4 linked regions of the Caenorhabditis elegans genome follow. The protein of the gene in region 1 purifies or fractionates together with the protein of each later gene. This does not show direct contact. Each region holds a gene or a part of one and is shown in the gene's direction. Other genes may lie near its edges. The genes, in order: dlst-1, ndub-6, ndua-12 and gas-1.

The links.
Region 2: the proteins of dlst-1 (region 1) and ndub-6 fractionate together in Caenorhabditis elegans (co-fractionation; one large-scale study listed by BioGRID). This does not show direct contact.
Region 3: the proteins of dlst-1 (region 1) and ndua-12 fractionate together in Caenorhabditis elegans (co-fractionation; one large-scale study listed by BioGRID). This does not show direct contact.
Region 4: the proteins of dlst-1 (region 1) and gas-1 fractionate together in Caenorhabditis elegans (co-fractionation; one large-scale study listed by BioGRID). This does not show direct contact.

What each region holds. Positions count from the first base shown.
Region 1 is NC_003283.11:6,706,501-6,710,792, reverse strand, and holds dlst-1 (Dihydrolipoyllysine-residue succinyltransferase component of 2-oxoglutarate dehydrogenase complex, mitochondrial), read left to right. Parts: upstream 1-1,691; 5' UTR 1,692-1,702; coding exon 1,703-1,759; intron 1,760-1,814; coding exon 1,815-1,854; intron 1,855-1,901; coding exon 1,902-1,982; intron 1,983-2,033; coding exon 2,034-2,290; intron 2,291-2,347; coding exon 2,348-2,718; intron 2,719-2,768; coding exon 2,769-3,219; intron 3,220-3,363; coding exon 3,364-3,498; 3' UTR 3,499-3,737; downstream 3,738-4,292. Other genes in the region: sna-1 (Small Nuclear RNA (snRNA) Associated protein), read left to right, coding at 308-322, 409-488, 536-786, 835-891, 940-1,097; W02F12.4 (Exonuclease domain-containing protein), read left to right, coding at 3,894-3,896, 3,953-4,095, 4,141-4,292.
Region 2 is NC_003282.8:11,650,665-11,653,975, forward strand, and holds ndub-6 (NADH dehydrogenase [ubiquinone] 1 beta subcomplex subunit 6), read left to right. Parts: upstream 1-1,738; 5' UTR 1,739-1,744; coding exon 1,745-1,851; intron 1,852-1,904; coding exon 1,905-2,007; intron 2,008-2,059; coding exon 2,060-2,176; intron 2,177-2,241; coding exon 2,242-2,352; intron 2,353-2,405; coding exon 2,406-2,539; intron 2,540-2,588; coding exon 2,589-2,649; 3' UTR 2,650-2,768; downstream 2,769-3,311. Other genes in the region: acl-3 (Tafazzin family protein), read right to left, coding at 251-457, 558-837, 894-990, 1,036-1,155, 1,205-1,355; ent-1 (Equilibrative nucleoside transporter 3), read right to left, coding at 3,038-3,311.
Region 3 is NC_003282.8:2,716,174-2,721,488, reverse strand, and holds ndua-12 (putative NADH dehydrogenase [ubiquinone] 1 alpha subcomplex subunit 12), read left to right. Parts: upstream 1-1,654; coding exon 1,655-1,755; intron 1,756-2,831; coding exon 2,832-2,987; intron 2,988-3,379; coding exon 3,380-3,481; intron 3,482-4,622; coding exon 4,623-4,704; 3' UTR 4,705-4,802; downstream 4,803-5,315. Other genes in the region: ubxn-2 (UBX domain-containing protein 2), read left to right, coding at 386-474, 780-924; Y94H6A.7 (Low molecular weight phosphotyrosine protein phosphatase), read left to right, coding at 4,918-4,960. UniProt on the Caenorhabditis elegans protein: Accessory subunit of the mitochondrial membrane respiratory chain NADH dehydrogenase (Complex I), that is believed not to be involved in catalysis. Complex I functions in the transfer of electrons from NADH to the respiratory chain.
Region 4 is NC_003284.9:15,586,264-15,591,989, reverse strand, and holds gas-1 (putative NADH dehydrogenase [ubiquinone] iron-sulfur protein 2, mitochondrial), read left to right. Parts: upstream 1-1,592; 5' UTR 1,593-1,598; coding exon 1,599-1,739; intron 1,740-1,790; coding exon 1,791-1,924; intron 1,925-1,977; coding exon 1,978-2,152; intron 2,153-2,372; coding exon 2,373-2,595; intron 2,596-2,643; coding exon 2,644-3,289; intron 3,290-3,619; exon of another isoform or gene 3,620-3,679; intron 3,680-4,841; coding exon 4,842-4,971; 3' UTR 4,972-5,204; downstream 5,205-5,726. Other genes in the region: usp-33 (Ubiquitin carboxyl-terminal hydrolase), read right to left, coding at 167-367, 448-621; K09A9.6 (Aspartyl/asparaginy/proline hydroxylase domain-containing protein), read right to left, coding at 5,242-5,349.

The sequences.
Region 1 (4,292 bases):
TTTCTGAATCAGTGTCCTATGACCACAAAATTTTCAGTTTTATTACAATTGTTCAAGGTAAAATATGAATTTGTTGTTTTATTCAACGTAGACCTAATATTAAGCCAGTTACCATAAGCACTCAAAAAATAAACAAGGCGCGCTACGACACTCCGCACCCCTCAACGATTTTCGAATCAAAATTTTTTCTCGTCTCGTTTCTCTAGGGGGTTTCAGAACATTTCAAGTCTTGAAAGCGAGATTGATTTTTTGTTTTTAAACAGAAAATTAGTTGTTTCCATTAATTTTTCAATTTTTCGTTCTGAAAATGGCCGACAAGAAGGTAGGTAGGCAGAGCCCACCAATGGAAGTCGACGATATTGTTTTTCTCGTTGTTTTATCGATTATCTTCTATTCTTTTGTTTTCAGGACTACGCAGCTATCGCCGAAATCGAAAAGCAAATTGCCGATAATGCGGCAAATTTCGAAAAGTGGAAAAATGCTAACGCGTCAGTCGAATATATATTTTATTCACATAATTTCTCAATATTTTCAGGTTGCAAAGAGGATCTGCCGACTATAATGCAGGAGTGACACGATTCACCGACTGGGATCGTGATCTACGAACAAGGCTCGCATCTCATCAAGGAATAAATGTCGAATCAGGCCCGAAAAGCATCGATGCAGTCCTTGGAGAGTTGCTGGATAAAGTAGATGGTGCTGGCTTTGCACAAGCAATTCAAATTGCAAACTCCGCTGATCCTACATTTTGGCCAACATTACAACAGGAATTTCACAATTTTAAAGGTAAATAGTTTGAGTTTCCATTTGAAAATAATTGGCGTCATGTTTCAGCAAATCCACCACAGCCTGTATATCAAATGCCTCGATCTCAATATTACCCAAGTTTTGGTGAGTTGCATAGAATATTTTCTTCATTTTATAATTATTTTATTACAGCCTCGAGTCCATACGGTTATGCAGCTCCACAAGTTACATCAAACGTTCCTGTCTATCGGCCTGTTTTGCCAACAATTATCACACTTCCGAAAGCAGTCTCACCAGTCCGAGACTTCCAAAAGAAAACCGGAGCGCCATTCCGAGATTTCAGCGTGTAAACTGAACTAATCAATTCATCCTCGTTTTCTATTCACTATTTCTATACTTCACTTTTGAACTGTGCCGTCGTTATGTTTCTCAAATTCGAAAATCACAAATAAACATTTTCTAATCACACATCGATCTTCTGCTTATCAACTAGCCAGTGGTACAATGTTAAACTGGTTTTCGATATCTTTGATTCTGCAACATTCAAATGGGCAAACCCACGTGTTATATCGAATTGTGTGTGTTTATCAGAAATGCAACAGAAAAAATACAATTTCTACAGAAAATTGAAAAAATCAAAGTGAAAATTTGTGTATACTTTATTTTTATGATTAATTGCACTGCAAAATATGTCATGCGATTCATAATCTACGTATTTTTCATGTTATTGATATTCCGAAAAATATCCCGAAAAACTCTGATCCAACGAAAAGCGTGCGGTGGCGTTGCGAAAAACGCGCGCGCGCGTTGCAGACCAGCGCCCGTCCGACCACGCCCACTTCTCGAATTGTTGCATTAAAATTCCTTGATATTTTTGAATGAGGAGTTATTTAGAACATATTTCAATTGTTTTGCGCAAAAAATATTAATACGCTATTTTTCAGGGTAACCGAAAATGCTCGGGCGACGTGCAGTATCAGTTCATCGGTTTCTTTCCAGAGCCGCGAGACAAGTGAGCATTTCTCATTTATTTTTTAGTTAAAAAAAATACGTATTCCGTTTTCCAGAGCGTAACTGCTGCCTCTTCTGCACAGCCAAGCCTCCAAGGTAGGAAGTTTACACGTTTTATATTAAAATAATCGAATTTCTTCCAGCTAAGACCAGTTTGTTGGAACCACTCGTTCAAAATGTGAGAATTACATCTTCAGCCAACTTCCACATGAGTGCAGTAAGAAGTGAGTTTTAAATGAAAAATACTTTTCAAAAATCTCATATTCAAATCACAGTGAGCGATGTTATTACCGTCGAAGGACCAGCTTTTGCTGAATCAATTTCGGAAGGAGATATTAGATGGCTAAAGCAGAAGGGAGATCATGTTAACGAAGACGAACTTGTCGCTGAGATTGAGACGGATAAAACTTCGGTTGAAGTACCAGCTCCACAAGCCGGAACAATTGTCGAGTTTCTCGTGGAAGATGGAGCTAAAGTGACAGCCAAGCAAAAGCTTTATAAACTTCAGCCAGGAGCAGGCGGAGGCTCGTCTGTGAGTTAATTTTTGTACAGCTTAGTGACTGAATTATAATATTTGTTTTTTTTTCAGTCAGCGCCAGCTAAAGAAGAACCAAAATCAGCGCCAGCCAAAGAAGAATCAAAACCAGCTCCAGCCAAGGAAGATTCGAAGCCAGCTGTGACTGCCGCTGCCCCACCAAAGCCAGTTTCTGGGGATATTCCAAAATCTGCTCCACCAGTTGCTCGCCCACCATCAACACCATCATCTTCCACTCCAGTCGGAGCCGTCCCAGTCACTCGTGTCGTTGTTCCAAAGGGAGTTGATCCATCCCACGCAATCACCGGAGCCCGTGATGAAGTCCGCGTTAAAGCCAACAGAATGCGCATGCGCATTGCTCAAAGACTGAAGGATGCTCAGAATACTTATGCTATGCTTACTACCTTCAATGAGATTGATATGAGGTTTTTTGTTGTTTTCTGGGTTTTTAAAAAAAGTTTTCGTGTTTTTGCAGCAGCCTCATCGAAATGAGAAAGACTTATCAGAAGGATTTTGTTGCCAAGCACGGAGTTAAGCTCGGAATGATGTCTCCATTTGTCCGCGCTGCCGCCTACGCTCTTCAAGAATCTCCAGTTGTTAACGCCGTTCTCGATGAAAACGAAATTGTCTACCGTCACTTTGTCGATATCTCCGTTGCTGTTGCTACACCGAAAGGACTCGTTGTTCCAGTCTTGAGAAATGTCGAGAGCATGAATTATGCTCAAATCGAATTGGAACTTGCCAATCTCGGAGTGAAGGCTCGTGACGGAAAGCTGGCTGTTGAAGATATGGAGGGAGGAACCTTCACGATTTCTAACGGTGGAGTCTTCGGATCCATGTTCGGAACCCCAATCATCAATCCACCACAAAGTGCAATTTTGGGAATGCACGGAGTGTTTGATCGTGTTGTTCCAGTCAACGGAAAGGCAAGTTTTCATTTTTATTCCAATTACTGATAGAAATTATCAAATTCGAATTTCAAAATGTTTAAATTTAACTAAAATGATTATAATACTGAAAATATATAGAAACAAAAACGTATGATTCATAAAAATTTGTTCAATTTTCAGCCAGAGATCCGACCAATCATGCAAATCGCTTTGACCTACGACCACAGATTGATCGATGGAAGAGAGGCAGTCACCTTCCTCAAGAAGATCAAGACCGCCGTCGAGGATCCACGAATCATGTTCATGAATCTTTAAATCTTAAATCTTTATCGCCCCTTTTTTTCTAAATTCTTTTTTCTATGCCTCCTTGGTCATGCTTTCACAAAATTTTTAATTTTTCGTTTGAACGTTTAGTAATCAACCGTAAATCATAGGTACGATGTATCGTCTAGCTTGTCATTCACCCCTTATGTTCGACTGTCCCTTATTATCCGAGTTTTCTTGTTCAAAAGCTAGTATTGATTATTAAAAAAATAAAAACCAAATATTTCACTTCTTCATCAGTCTTTAATCACACAAATTTGGCAATCATTACTTTTGATTTCGATATTTATGACGTCACTTGGCAATGAGAAGGTGATCACTGATAAAAGATAAGAAGTTCAATGTCATCTTTCAGGTATTCCTGGCAAGTGAGAACGGTTGAAATAATGGTGAGTTGAAAAAAAAATCATTAGAGGAAATATTGCAATGTTGAATTTAATTTCAGAAGCGGTCATCGGATTTCACTCCAACCACGACACCTTCAAAAATAGCCACGTGGACTCTACACGGCGATGTAACTCCAGAACGGAAGAGAGGACCACCCATACTACTGAAAGCCAGTCCAACAAAACAGATTCAGAAAAGAAGGTGTTTAATATTTCCTTTCTTGGAAATATATTTTTTCAATTTCAGTGCCTACTCTCGAGAGTTTATCAAAACATACGTGTTCTTCGATCTGGAATGTACTGGACTTATAAAAAATGAAGATACACGAAATTTGCACGCACGAGCATTCAATAAAGCTGAAGAACATTATAATGTGCTGAATAATCTTTGCATTGAAA
Region 2 (3,311 bases), on another chromosome or scaffold:
GTTCTGAAACGATGAGAGGAAATGGTGAAGGAGAACAGAATGATGATCTTAAGATCAGAGCTTGAGACGAATTCATCCGGGATTTCAAGGGAAGAGAAAAAAAAAACAAAAACAGCAAGTAGGAAAGAAAATGGCTATCACGTACATAGAAAATGCAATAAAAGTTGTGTTATAACAAAAATCATCAAACCAAGAAATAGAAAAAAAATCTAAATATTTCCTAAAAAATTAAAGCTATGGGGAATCAAGTTTAATATTCAATTGGCGGATTTTTTCGAAGAATTTCCAGTGACGATCCTTTAGGAAGATCACCAACTTTCTCTCCCAATTGATACATCCGTGTCTGAACTTCGTCAGTGATGATTTTTCGCATTTGTTCAGTGGTCAGTGACTTTGATAGAACTGTTTTCTTGAGATCAGACAGGAAAAATGGCTCTCCGATGTGAACTGTTACGGTCTGAAACGGAAAAAAATGAATAATTTCACTACGTTTTTTGCAGATTTTATATTTTTACGTCTAAATTTGATTATTGAACTTGAAAAATCTTCCGACTTACATTTCCAAATTTAGGATAGTATGGAGGTTGTGTTGGCCAAACTTTTTCCATCTCTTTACACCATACAGGCAATATTACTGGATCGGTTTTAGCATCCATCACAAGCCTTCCAATTCCCCACTTGAATCGTAGTGGTTCACTTTCAAGAGTACACACTTTTCCTTCTGGAAAGATATGAACCCATTTATTATCATTCAGCATATCCACACAGAAATCCATTCCTTTTTGATAAACTCCTTCTCCACGAACACACGGAACACAACGTCCTAATGAGAACATTCTGAAAAATAAATATGCGACGATTAATTTGAAAAATTCAAGAGAAAAAACTCTTACGTTGTATGGAACTGTTTTGTGAAGCAAATGTTGTGAGCTGCGAGAGTGTATCTATTGCGATCTTTGTATCTCCAAAACTCACGGAATTTCAGAATACCTGAAAATAGAAATTAGGAATGCTATAATAAATCATTCGGCTTACACCACATGAGCGGGTCGTCGATATTTGAGCGATGATTTGAGACTGTGATGAGTGGTTGATTCGGATTTTCCAAAATCTTGACGAATGTCTCTTTGTTGTGGCATATCAACTTATTGGATCCTAAAATGTATCGAATTTAATAATTTTAAACTTTAATTAAAAGACAAACCTCCAAGGAACATAAGTTTGGAAACTGAAGTGACTAAACTCATTGTCATGTATGATTTTATACGGTACAGAAGTGACGGTTTTTTTGGAAAGGGCCATGCAAACCGGAAGCCTTGCACGTCATTTGTTTTATCCCGCATTGTACCCGACATCGTGCTGAAATACTTTTAAAGTTTAGAAAAATCTTTCGAATGGAATAATAAAGTGTTAGAGAACGTGGAAACTATATTAATTTTAATCAGAACAATGCAAGAAAAAAGAAAGAGAAAAGTGCGCCGCGCGCTTGCACCTCGAAACTCCGCCTTCTTTTGCAAGCCGCAACGGGCTTTTTAATAAATGGCAGATCTAAATTTAACTGCAAAATAGTTTGTTTTATTCAAATTTGCTAAAATTTTATTGATTTCGTATGTAATTTATGTTAAATTGTTATATTTCGTTGTCATGTATCATGTTTTTTGTGTGCCCGTTCATTATTATCGATTTTTACTCAGTTTATATTTAAGCAGTCTCACAAATTCATAAAAACGAATTTCAGGCTCAAATGGGTAACCAGTATGTGAAACCAGAACGCACGGGCAATTCCCCTTATACCCGGTCCGGAGTTCCACCACCGGCGCTTGTCAAGACTGGTGACAAGCCTCTTCACAGGTAATTCTTTTAGATTCTGTTCAACAAATTCTATTCAACACAAAAAAATTCAGAGTGAATGACCGCATGTCTCTCGAGCTCCACATGGCCGATGAGCGTGTTCGTGCCGCTGGTTTGAGCCCAGCCGAAAGAGAATGGAGAAAGAAGTGGGTTCATGTGAGTTTTTACATTTTTTGTCAATTGTTAATACTAAAATGTTTATGTTTAGGACCAGCACCTTCACGCTGACGAGCCAGTCGTTGTCGATGCCGTTCATCGTCAGTTGAACCCAATCAGAACCGCTTACAGACTTCCATGGGACAAGTTCTATCTTCATTACCTCAAGGTGAGATATATTTTCTTTAAAAAAATCAATTTTTTAATTTGAATTTCTCATTTATTGCATTTCAGCCAACATTCGGAGTTTACTATGGAACCGCTATCAGAGTTACAGCTCCAAAATTGCTCATGGCTTTCGTCGTTGTGCAGACTGCCTATTATTATTGGAAATACGAAGTCAAGGTATTCAATTTTTTGAATTTTATATTAATTTCACGAACCATTATCTTTTCAAGGACTGGACACATTTGAGAGGACTTGAATCGATGCCACAAAAAGAAGTTATTGCTAGTGCTCCAGCAATTGAAGAGAAATTCCCTGGACTCATGGATAAGGGACTCGCCAACCCATCCAAGGATGACTACTACACGTGAGTTAAACAATAATTTGTGGAATATTGGAAAATTGAAACTTTTCAGACCAACATTTAATAAGCGTACTGCTTACCTCGATGTTGGAGAGACAAAACGACCGTGGTAATCGAAAGGAAACGAGTGACAATCAGTCATTCGAATATGTACTTTTAGGGTGTTGTAGACGAATTTTTAAAGTTTTTTCTTTGTTTTTGACCCTACCGTAAATAAAAAATTTCATGAATGATTTATTTAACCAACTTTCTAGGTTTTATTCATAAAAAACAAGTTGAGATTATAAAAAAATAGGAGAACAACGAGATGGTGCTGCGGAAATACCTGAAGAAGGAAAATAACAAAGAACAACAAAGTATTAAGAGGTATTTTAAGGAAAGAACACTAGTGGATAAAGATACTACAGAGGAAACCTTGAAGGTTATGAAAGAATTTACGTTAGGGAATTAATATTGCTAATGATGAGGTTGATGGGAATAAAATAAGGAGGAATAAGAAGTTTAGGCCGTGACGACCATCTTGATGACCATTGTGAAGATCAGACCAGAGACAATTCCAGAGATGAGGAAGAATCCGGCCATCATTCCAGCGACCTGAGCCTTCGATGGATCAACAGTCTTCGAGGTGTACATCATGGCGAGTCCCGAGAAATATCCACTTCCAAAGCTCATCGAGGCGGCGATAATGACGAAAAGCCAGGTGGATTCGAAAAAGACGGGAAGTGAACGGGTCTCAGGGAGATAGTTGCAGAAGATGAAGAATGGAATATAGAGG
Region 3 (5,315 bases), on another chromosome or scaffold:
TTTCCAAATAAAAAATTGCTGGCCTAGAAACCCAAACCTCGGCCACCTATTTTTCACCTAAAAACCGTACCTAAACACACCATCAGGACGCTTTTCTGCTCTCCGACGCTCATTTTCTGGGAAAAAATCAGATTTTTTTCCTGAAAAAAACGTGAAAAATCAATAAAAATATCACAAAAAGGTCGTAAAATCCTTCAAAAAATCAATAAAAATTGGCAAAAAAAAATCGATAAAAATCTACAAAATTCATATGATTTTAAACACAAAAAAAACGGAGAAAAATCTACTTTTTCGAAAAAAAAAAATTTCAGGCTCTAATTATAGATTTTCAGTCGAATTGTGGCTTCTTTCCTGATATTTTGATTAATTTTAACAAAATTTTCAGATCCAAATCCGTCTGCCAAACAATCAGCGTCTCGTCGGTATTTTTAATCATTCTCACACACTTGAAGCAGTTCGTACATTCATTTGCACGTGAGTTTTCAGCCGGAAAAAGCTATTAAAAACTCTCATTTTTCACTAGAAAAAGTAGATTTTTAGAAAATTTCGAATTAAAAAAATAAAAAAATCATCTAAAAATCACATTTTTAGCCTGAAAAATTCGAAATTTTCCAATGAATAATTATTTTTTAATAATATTTTTCTGATATACACAGTGATAGAAAAATTACATTTTTCAAATTAAAAAATTACATTTTTCAAATTAAAAAATTACATTTTTCTAGTTTTTTCTTTCAAAAAACTCAAATTTTTTTAATTTAAAAATTTTGATTTTCCAGCGCCCGCCCAGATATGATCTACGCTCCATTCCAAATGATGGCTGCCTACCCTCCAAAACCATTTGAAGACGAATCACAGACTCTGAAGGATGCAAATGTGCTCAATTCGGTCGTCGCCGTGAAAATCTTGCCCACCACCAACTGAGGAGATTCCTGACGCTGCTTTTTTGGCGGGAAAATTGAAAATTGAAAATTTCATCTGAAAAAATTTCGAATTTCTACTCGTTTTTACCCCCCAAAACCTCTCAAATTCCCTGAAAATACCTGTATTTTACGCTAAATTATTTGATTTTTTCCCCCCATTTCCCAATATCGTTTTTTTTCTTTCTTCTATCACACTTTAATGCATAAAAAAAGTACACCGTTTTCTGTGAAAAATTGCGGCGATTTTTATTGATTTTTTGTTTTGGAATTTGCGAGTTTTTCAAGCTCTGAAATATTTTTTTTATTTTTTCCAGATTTTCAGAATTTTTCAATTTTTAGTGAAAAATGCACATTTTTTACAAATTTTCCATTAAAAATTCAATTTTAAAGTCAAATTTTGAATTTTTCAGATTTTTTCCCAATTTTTCAGAGAGAAAAATCCTTCTTCTGCGATTTTTTGGTGAAAAATTTAAAGTTTTCAAAAAATGTAAAAATTCACTTTTTTTGTTCCAATTTTCCACTGAAAAATCGATTTTTCCCTGATTTTTTTCAAAAAATTCAAGATTTTTCAGTGAAAAACTCGAAAAATATCATATTTCACAGGAAATATGGAGTTTTTCGCCAAAAAATTTATAAAAAATTTTTTTTTGAAAAAATTCACAAAATGCTTGGTTTTTCCTCCCCACATTCCGTTAAAATTTCCCATTTTTCCAACCAAATTTACATTACAGATGTCCCTGAAAGCGTGGCTGGGAATCGATAAAATCCAAAAGTTTGGCCAAATGGTCAAGGAGATTGGAGGTGTCAAAGCGGTGCTTAAGAAGCGTTATTTGTAAGTTTTCAGGTGGAAAAATGGCTGAAAATGCACTAAATTAGAAGAAAAACGGTCGAAAATTACCTGAAAATCATAAAAATCGAAAAAAAAATCGGTGGCCGAACTTTTCGATTTTCTAGGCCATCAGGTGAAAAGTTAGTCCCCCACACAAAACTGACCTGACCTATCACGCAGAATGTCAAAACAAAATTGGGGGACTAATTTTTCACTTGGTGGCCTAGAAATCCAAAAGTTCGGCCACCGATTTCTGACAAATTTTTAATTTTTTTTTTCGATTTACAACAATCGAATTTTATTTTTTAAAAATACATCAAAAAATTGATGGCCTAACTTTTCGATTTTCTAGGCCGTCATGTGAAAAGTTAGTCCGCGGGTTGATAATCGCTTGAAATCACCTGAAAACGAGCGAAAATCAGCGGGGACTAACTTTTCAGCTGGTGGCCTAGAAAATCGAAAAGTTCGGCCACGAATTTTTTTTTTGAATTTTTCAGTATTAAAAAATTCAAAAAATGTACGAAATTTGTCATGAAATCTGTCAGAAATCGGAGGCTGAACTTTTTTGGATTTCTAGGCCACCAAGTGATAAATTAGTCCCCCAATTTCATTTGGACATCCTGCGCGATACGTCAGGTCAATTTTGTGTGGGGGACTAACTGTTCACCTGATGGCCTAGAAAATCGAAAAGTTCGGCCACCGTTTTTTTTTTAATGAGTTTTATGCCAATTTTACACTATTTTCGCTTAATTTCATCAAAATTTCGGTTGAAAAATTGAATTTTTCGAATGACTCGCGTCGGAAAAATGACCGGAGAAACATAAAAAACCGAAAAAAAAATCGGTGGCCGAACTTTTCGATTTTCTAGACCAGCGAGTGAAAAGTTAGTCCGCGCGGGCTTATAATCGCTTAAAATCACCTGAAAACGAGCGAAAATCGATGGGGACTAACTTTTCACATGGTGGCCTAGAAAATCGAAAAGTTCGGCCACCGATTTCTTTTGTTTTTTAATGATGATTTTTAGGCCAATTTTACACCATTTTCGCTCAATTTACATAAAAATCTTCTCAAATTTTCAGAATGGACGCGACCCGCGTCGGAACACTCGTCGGTTCGGACAATTTCGGCAATCGTTACTACGAGAATAACGCGTATTTCGTGCCACGCAACCGTTGGGTCGAGTTTCCCGACAAAGTTTGGCTCGACTATGATGCGACTCAAGTGCCACCGGAATGGTACGCAAAAAAATGACGACGAAAAATGAACAATTTTGCTGTTTTTTACACGAAAAATGGCCTAGATCGGCCTAAAATGGCCTAGAAATGGCCTAGAAAATGGCCTAGAATGGCCTAGACAAATACAAATAAAAATAGATGACATAAAAATCATGAAAATCGAAAAAAAAATCGGTGGCCGAACTTTTGGGTTTCTAGGCCACCAGGTGAAAAGTTAGTTCCACCACTCAAATTTGGCCCAAATCACTCAAAATGTCCGGAAAACATGGTGGACTAACTTTTCACCTGGTGGCCTAGAAATCCGAAAGTTCGGTCACCGATTTTCAAGCCTAATTTTCGTGTAAAAATGCGCAAAATTGTTCATTTTTTCATCATTTTCTTTAATTTTCCAGGCACTCTTGGCTCCACCACATCACCGATGATGCTCCATCGGTGAAGCCACCACCAACTCAGGATTGGGTACTCGAACATAAGGAGAACACCAGTATCTACGCGTAGGTTTTCGACGGAAAATTGGATTTTTAGACGAATTTCAATGAAAAAATCAAGAAAAACGGTGAAAAATGGCCTAAAAATCATGAAAATTGAGAAAAACAAAGTTGGTGGCCGAACTTTTTGGATTTCTAGGCCACCAATTTTTTTTTCTTAATTGCCGTAAATTTTTAAGAAAAGACATCACGGGGACTAGTTTTCCACCTGGATGGCCTGAAAGTCGTCAAATTTTGAAAAAAAAAAAGTTGGTGGCCGAACTTTTCATTTTCTAGGCCATCATTTTTTCGGACGTTTTTCGCCTATTTTTGGTCAATTTTCGCAGATTCTTGAACAAAAAATATCCCGGAGACTAGTTTTCCACCTGGATGGCCTAGAAATCGTAAAATTTTAAAAAAAAAGTTGGTGGTCGAGCTTTTTGGTTTCCTAGGCCACCAATTTTTCTAACGGTTTTCGGCCATTTTTCTTGTTTTTTAAAGTCAATTTTTCACAAAAAACATCCCGGGGACTAATTTTCCACTCACATGGCCTAGAAATCGTAAAATTTTCAAACAAAAAAATGGTGACCGAACTTTTTGGTTTTCTAGGCCGCCATCTTTTTCTAACGGTTTTCGGCCATTTTTCTTGTTTTTTAAAATCAATTTTTCACAAAAAACATCCCGGGGACTAGTTTTTCACTCACATGGCCTAGAAGTCGTCAAGTTTCGAAAAAAAAGTTGGTGGCCGAACTTTTTGGTTTTCTAGGTCAACAATTTTTTTCAATTTTTAAACGATTTCCAGCTGTTTTAGCTCGAGTTTCATATTTTTTTGGTCAATTTTTCCGCAAAAAACAGCTCGGGGACTCAAGAAATTGGTGGCCGAACTTTTTGAGTTTTCTAGGCCACCAATTTTTTTTTTCAATTTTTAACGGTTTCCAGCTGTTTTAGCTCGAGTTTCACATTTTTTTGGTCAATTTTTCCGCAAAAAACAGCTCGGGGACTCAAGAAATTGGTGGCCGAACTTTTTGGTTTTCTAGGCCACCATCTTTTTCTAACGGTTTTCGGCCATTTTTCTTGTTTTTTAAAGTCAATTTTTCACAAAAAACATCCCGGGGACTAGTTTTCCACTCACATGGCCTAGAAAACCCCTAAATTCCCAATTTTTCAGCGACAAAAAGTACGTTCCATACTCGACAACTCGTACCAAAATTCAAGGATGGCAACCAGGAGAGAAGCCACAATTCGACTGAAAATCTATAATTAGAGCCCCTGAAATTTTTTTTTTCGAAAAAGTAGATTTTTCTCCGTTTTTTTGTGTTTAAAATCATATGAATTTTGTAGATTTTTATCGATTTTTTTGCCAATTTTTATTGATTTTTTGAAGGATTTTACGACCTTTTTGTGATATTTTTATTGATTTTTCACGTTTTTTTCAGAAAAAAAATCTGATTTTTTCCCAGAAAATGAGCGTCGGAGAGCAGAAAAGCGTCCTGATGGTGTGTTTAGGTACGGTTTTTAGGTGAAAAATAGGTGGCCGAGGTTTGGGTTTCTAGGCCAGCAATTTTTTATTTGGAAAATTGACGAAAAAACGGTCAAATTTGCGCGAAAAAAATTGGTGGCCGACTTTTTAAAAAATTTAGGCCACCGATTTTTTTTCGGGTTTCCCATCGAATAATTAGTAATTCAGCACATTTTTGTGAAAAATTGGAAGAAAATAAAATTTTAAAAGTCGATGGCCGAACTTTTGAATTTCTAGGCCACCAACTGAGATGTTAGTCCACAAGCGTCTTCTTGCCATTTTGAATTGTGACTAGCTATTTTCAGATGGGCTGGACTAACTTTTCACTTGATGGCCTAGAAA
Region 4 (5,726 bases), on another chromosome or scaffold:
TTTTCTTCTGCACAGTTTTCTGTTTAGAAAAAAGTTCATCGCATGTGTCTGTCAAATTATATAAATATATGTAGATTACTATTTAACGGATATTATGTAAAAATGCAATTATATCAAAATTCAAAAAAGTAAGCAAAACTTGATGTCAATTTGCGAACAAACGTACCGCCATATGAGGAAGAAGGTGGTCGGAATTTTTGCAACAGCTTGACTTCAAACTATTAATACAATCTTGATGAGCACATGAGAAACTGACTGAATCATGGCAAGTCATGCATTTTAACTTCTTCTGTAGAAGCTGGCTGAGGTCTGATGGATTGATGTCTTTGACGTGTTTGCAGCGAGATTCCATTTGTTTTGGAAGCATCTGTAATTATTTTTGAGGTTTTTGGAAAATCAGGTATTGTGATGTTAAATGTTTGAGAAAGTCATTGGAAATATTCTTACCGGTCGCGGATTATTATTCTCTTCCAGATCATCCTTATCGGTATCTGTACCCGTTCCTGATTCAGACGATGACGACTCCTCATCTAGTATACCCTCTTCTTTTTCGATGTTCTGTGATGGCTGACTGCTATCCGAATTCATTCCGTCGTCATCACGCCCTGCACTATCCGCCATTCTGAAAAAAAATATAGAAAATTGAAATGAGAGTCATGTTAAATTTAAAAAAAAGTCATCATTAGTATCAATTGACCACAACGAAAAATGATATTGAAACCAAAAAAGAAAAAAACGTTAAGTTGTATTTCATATCATCAGTTTAATTAATAAGTTAATAGTATATTCGAAAATCTGTACTTTAAAAAAACAATGATGTCATTTCGGTAATAAGTGTAAAAAAATATGAAACTTGTGTATTATAACTCCACATTTTGAAAATTTAATTTCTTAACTTTTAAACGTGATCTTCATTTTGTTTTTTTTTTGAAACGATCTTTTCCAAACCTAATCATGATAATACTACTCACGTTTTAGATAAGTGGAGAAAAAAAACAATTACTAATTTACTTTTAAAATGTTGGAACACACGTACCGAAAATATTAGGTTAAATTTACAATTTGATCAAAAATTGAAAAATGAGTTTATTAAAAATTTTTACAAAATAATCCAAATTAACGTTATATTATAAAACAATTTTCAATTTAAAAAAAGTTTCTTAGAAAACAAAAATAAATAATAACACCGAGCATGACAATTCCGAACGACTGTCCAAGCAACAAGACATCTTCTAAATCAATAGAGAGGTGAGGCTACGCGAGGAAAACAACGACACTCCACCACGCGCTAAATACCGAGCAGTCGTCTTATTTTCGTTCGGTACCTATTTTCGACACTGTTTTTGCGAATTTACTTTCTTTTTTCTTAATAATTTTAATATTATCTTTATCGTGTAAGAAAAAATACGACTGACTGTTAGTTTCCATGAAAAAAATTGTGAAAATCAAGTTGCGAATTGGTGGGTTTTTGAAGTTCAATCTTTCTGTGTTCAATGTGCAATTTGGCAGCGATTTTATCGATTTTTCCGTTTCTCTTTGTTGCTTTAACTTCACAACTTTTATTGCTCACTATTCACCGAATATTTTTATAGGAAACAATGTTGGGTAGAAAGATCGCCGGAACTTGTCTCCGAGCGAACGTTCCATCGGTCGCGGCGACGTCTTCTACTCCTGCCACCCAAACCCGAAACTCCCACACAATCTGGTATCCAGATGCTAAATTTGAGCGTCAATTTAAGGTTGATTTTTTTTGTTGGTTACGAGTGACATCTCAATTTTCAATATTTCAGACCGGAGGTACCCTCGGAAAGCTGTGGATGTCGGAGCGGGTTTCGGATTTCGACGAGAAGATCGGACTTGACAAGCTTGAAAAGTTGGCCTATTCCGATCCAGTTATGAGTGATAACTACAGCGGAAAACAGAGGTAGAAATTTTACCGAGTACTTGAAAATTAAAATAATTTGTTTTTTTTTTCAGAGAGAAGAATCTGGAAAACATGATTCTCAACTTCGGACCACAGCATCCAGCCGCTCACGGAGTGTTGCGTCTCGTGTTGAAACTGGAAGGAGAAGTCATCATCAAGGCCATCCCACATATTGGACTCCTTCATCGTGCCACTGAAAAGCTCATTGAGCACAAGACCTACACTCAGGTATGTTTCTAAAACGATATTGAAAATGATAAATTGAAAATTTGTAAAATCTTCAACTCGGTCCAAGTTTAGAACTGAAAATGACAAATATTGTGTCTAAATAATAATTTTTTGTTTAGCCTAATTTTAGTTTTCAAAAGCTATGAAATCCGTTTCAAATCATTTTTTCTGTCACTCAAATCGAATATTCAATCAATTTTTCCAACTGTTTTCTTTGCAGGCTCTCCCATACTTCGATCGTCTCGATTACGTCTCCATGATGTGCAATGAGCAGGCTTGGTCTTTGGCTGTTGAGAAGCTTCTCGGTATTGACATCCCAACAAGAGCCAAATATATCAGAACTCTCATGGGAGAGCTCACTCGCATCCAGAACCACATCATGGGTATCACCACTCACGCCCTTGACGTTGGAGCTATGACACCGTTTTTCTGGATGTTCGAGGGTAAGTTTATTGTTTCAAAATAAGTACAAAACCAACATTGATTTTCAGAACGTGAAAAGCTCTTTGAGTTTTCCGAGCGAGTATCTGGTGCCAGAATGCATGCCAACTACGTCCGCCCCGGAGGTGTCGCTTGGGATCTTCCAATTGGTCTTATGGATGACATCTACGACTGGGCCATCAAGTTCCCAGAACGTATCGATGAGCTCGAAGACATGCTCACCGAAAACCGAATCTGGAAGGCCAGAACTATTGACATCGGACTTGTGTCAGCTGCTGATGCTCTCAACTGGGGATTCAGTGGAGTCATGGTCCGTGGATCTGGAATCAAGCAAGACGTGAGAAAGACCGAACCATACGATGCCTATGCTGATATGGAATTTGATGTTCCAATCGGAACCAAGGGTGATTGCTACGACAGATACTTGTGCCGTATTGAGGAGATGAGACAGTCGTTGAACATTGTGCATCAGTGCCTCAACAAGATGCCAGCCGGAGAAATCAAGGTCGACGATCACAAGGTTGTGCCACCAAAGAGAGCCGAGATGAAGGAGAACATGGAGTCTCTTATTCATCATTTCAAGTTCTTCACCGAAGGATTCCAAGTGCCACCAGGAGCAACTTATGTCCCAATTGAGGCTCCAAAGGGAGAGTTTGGAGTTTACCTTGTTGCTGATGGAACCGGAAAACCATATAGGTAACTATTTCATTTTTAATGTTAAGAATGCGGTGGTCTGAACCAAGGGTGTCAATGTCCCGTAAAATTTATATTATATATAAAAAATTTTAAATTTACAAAAACGGGACAGCGGGACTCCGGTTGACTATTAATTCTTGATTATGAAGTGATTACCAAATTAGGACCACACGCGCAGACATCTCCACCCTCCACCCTGATTTGAATGCCACAGTGGTCGGATCTGTAAACGACCCCTGTGGCCAAAGTGGTTGCGTCGCTGGTTAGTGTGCACAATCTCGCGGGTTCGATTCTTTTGAATGCTAAATCCTTTGTTCAGTTATTATAAGTAAGGGGACTTCTAATTGTTTGTAAAAAATCGAGTATTACAACCATTGGAATTTCTCTATTACATTTTTGGATTGGCAAAGTTGTAGTACTTGACTATAGGAAATGATTTAGCCTTTTAGGGAGGATGTCTTTTTCAGCAGGACGTCCTCGGCGGCAGGATCAGGACGCGTCCTCGTCCTTCGCGTTTGGACGTCCCCAATTCTCACTGTGTGTGTTTTTCACAATTTCAACAGTGAGACTTGAGGATGTCCAAACGCGCAGAACCTAACTCGTCCTTTTTAACAGCCCTAAAAGTGATAATTGTTATGTTCTGAAGGCGGAACGACGAGGAGAAGACAAGAAGTTTATTATATTAGTACTAAACTAAGGAATAAACCAGTTAGTTATAGAGCTCACGTTGTACAATCTTCTTAGCCACATCGTGGGTAAATACACTAGTAACAAGAGCTCAAAAGTCCAAGGTACAGATTTTTCACCAATTAAAAAGTTTGGAATTTTATTCAAATAAAATGGGAAAAGTGCAGCTTCAACATTTAACCACATTTTTTGCACTGTATTAAATAAATTGTCATTTTAGTGGAAGTGTATGAAATACTTTGTTCAAAGCTTCAGTGCAATACTAGTAGACACTGCAAGTTTTTTATTGGTTATCTAGAATGCAATTACAAAACTTTGAACAGCGTATTCCTAACATTTGAATAAGATATTTCTATGAATTGTTACTAGGCGGGATAGCTCAGTTGGTAGTGGTGGCCGCTAGTAGTCTGGAGGTCACAAGTTCAAGTTCCGCCTCACGCCTTAGGTTCGCCCAGCATCTAATGGGAAGTGAAGCTCATCATTCATCCATCACTGGATTATCGGCCACAGTCCCCGGCTAGGATGTGGCTTAAATTATAACCCAGTGGGAGCATCGCCAGGCAGTGTACCTGACTCCCAGATCCGCATTGATTTGCACTTGAAGAGAGAAATATTGTTCAAATTTTGAACTAAATGTCTGAAAATAAGATGCAAAGATTATAACACCGTTATACAATTAAAAATACAGTTGTATATAATAATGGTTACTGAAAAATGTAAGTGAACGGAAATTTCCAATTATTAATTTTTGTCATTTCACATACATACAATTAGGGCTGTGCAATCGGACGAATTCGTCCGGTTTTACCAGATTTACACGCGTCCAAAACAGAAGCTTTTTCAACATTAAATTGTCTCATTTCAGATGCTTCATCCGCGCTCCAGGGTTTGCTCACTTGGCGGCCATCCACGATGTGTGCTACATGTCTCTTATCGCCGACATTGTCGCTGTCATTGGAACTATGGATATTGTGTTCGGAGAGGTCGATCGATAAATACTCAACTCATTAGGCACGTAGACGGATTCTCTATAGCACATTCTCAACTCACTCTTTATTTATCCCTTGCACCGCGAAATGTGTTCTGTTTATTTTCTTTTCTTTTCAAAGTTCGTTTTTTTCTGAAATTCAAAAATGTAGATTTGTATCTGTTCACTGTTGTTCAGGATGTTCAATAAATAAGTCTGCAACCAAGACGCAAAGAAAAAACGCTTTATTAAGAAAATACTCACAACAATAAAAATAGAGCTAACATTATGATCAAGATTATGAAAGGAATGACAACACGCGTTGATGAGGTTGAACTTCGGGGTGCCAAAGTTGAATGGTGAGGACAAGTCGGAAGGATGATGAAGATGCACCGTCGAATTGGAGCTGAAATTTTAACTATGAACTTTAAGGTAATATTTAAAGACGGCTTTCAACTTTTGAGATCGTTGCCTTACTAGTTAGAAATTCGAAAAGTATTGAAAATTTGCCAATTGTTTGGGCATTGAGTTTTTATGTGCTTATCAATTGATATATCAAAATTAATAGTTTGTACCAGGGCTTCCATGAGGTCGCCGCAACGGTGCCTCCGCCGGGCTCACGCCGCATGTATAGTGCGGCGCGGAACCACAAACGTGTCGGCCGCTTCCAAATAACCACATTTTGGATTTACTGACACACACAGCGGCGCGCGGCGTCGGCGTGAGGCCCGCATTTCGCGCCTCACACAGCTGGGAGCCCTAGTTTGTACCTAGACTCCCTAA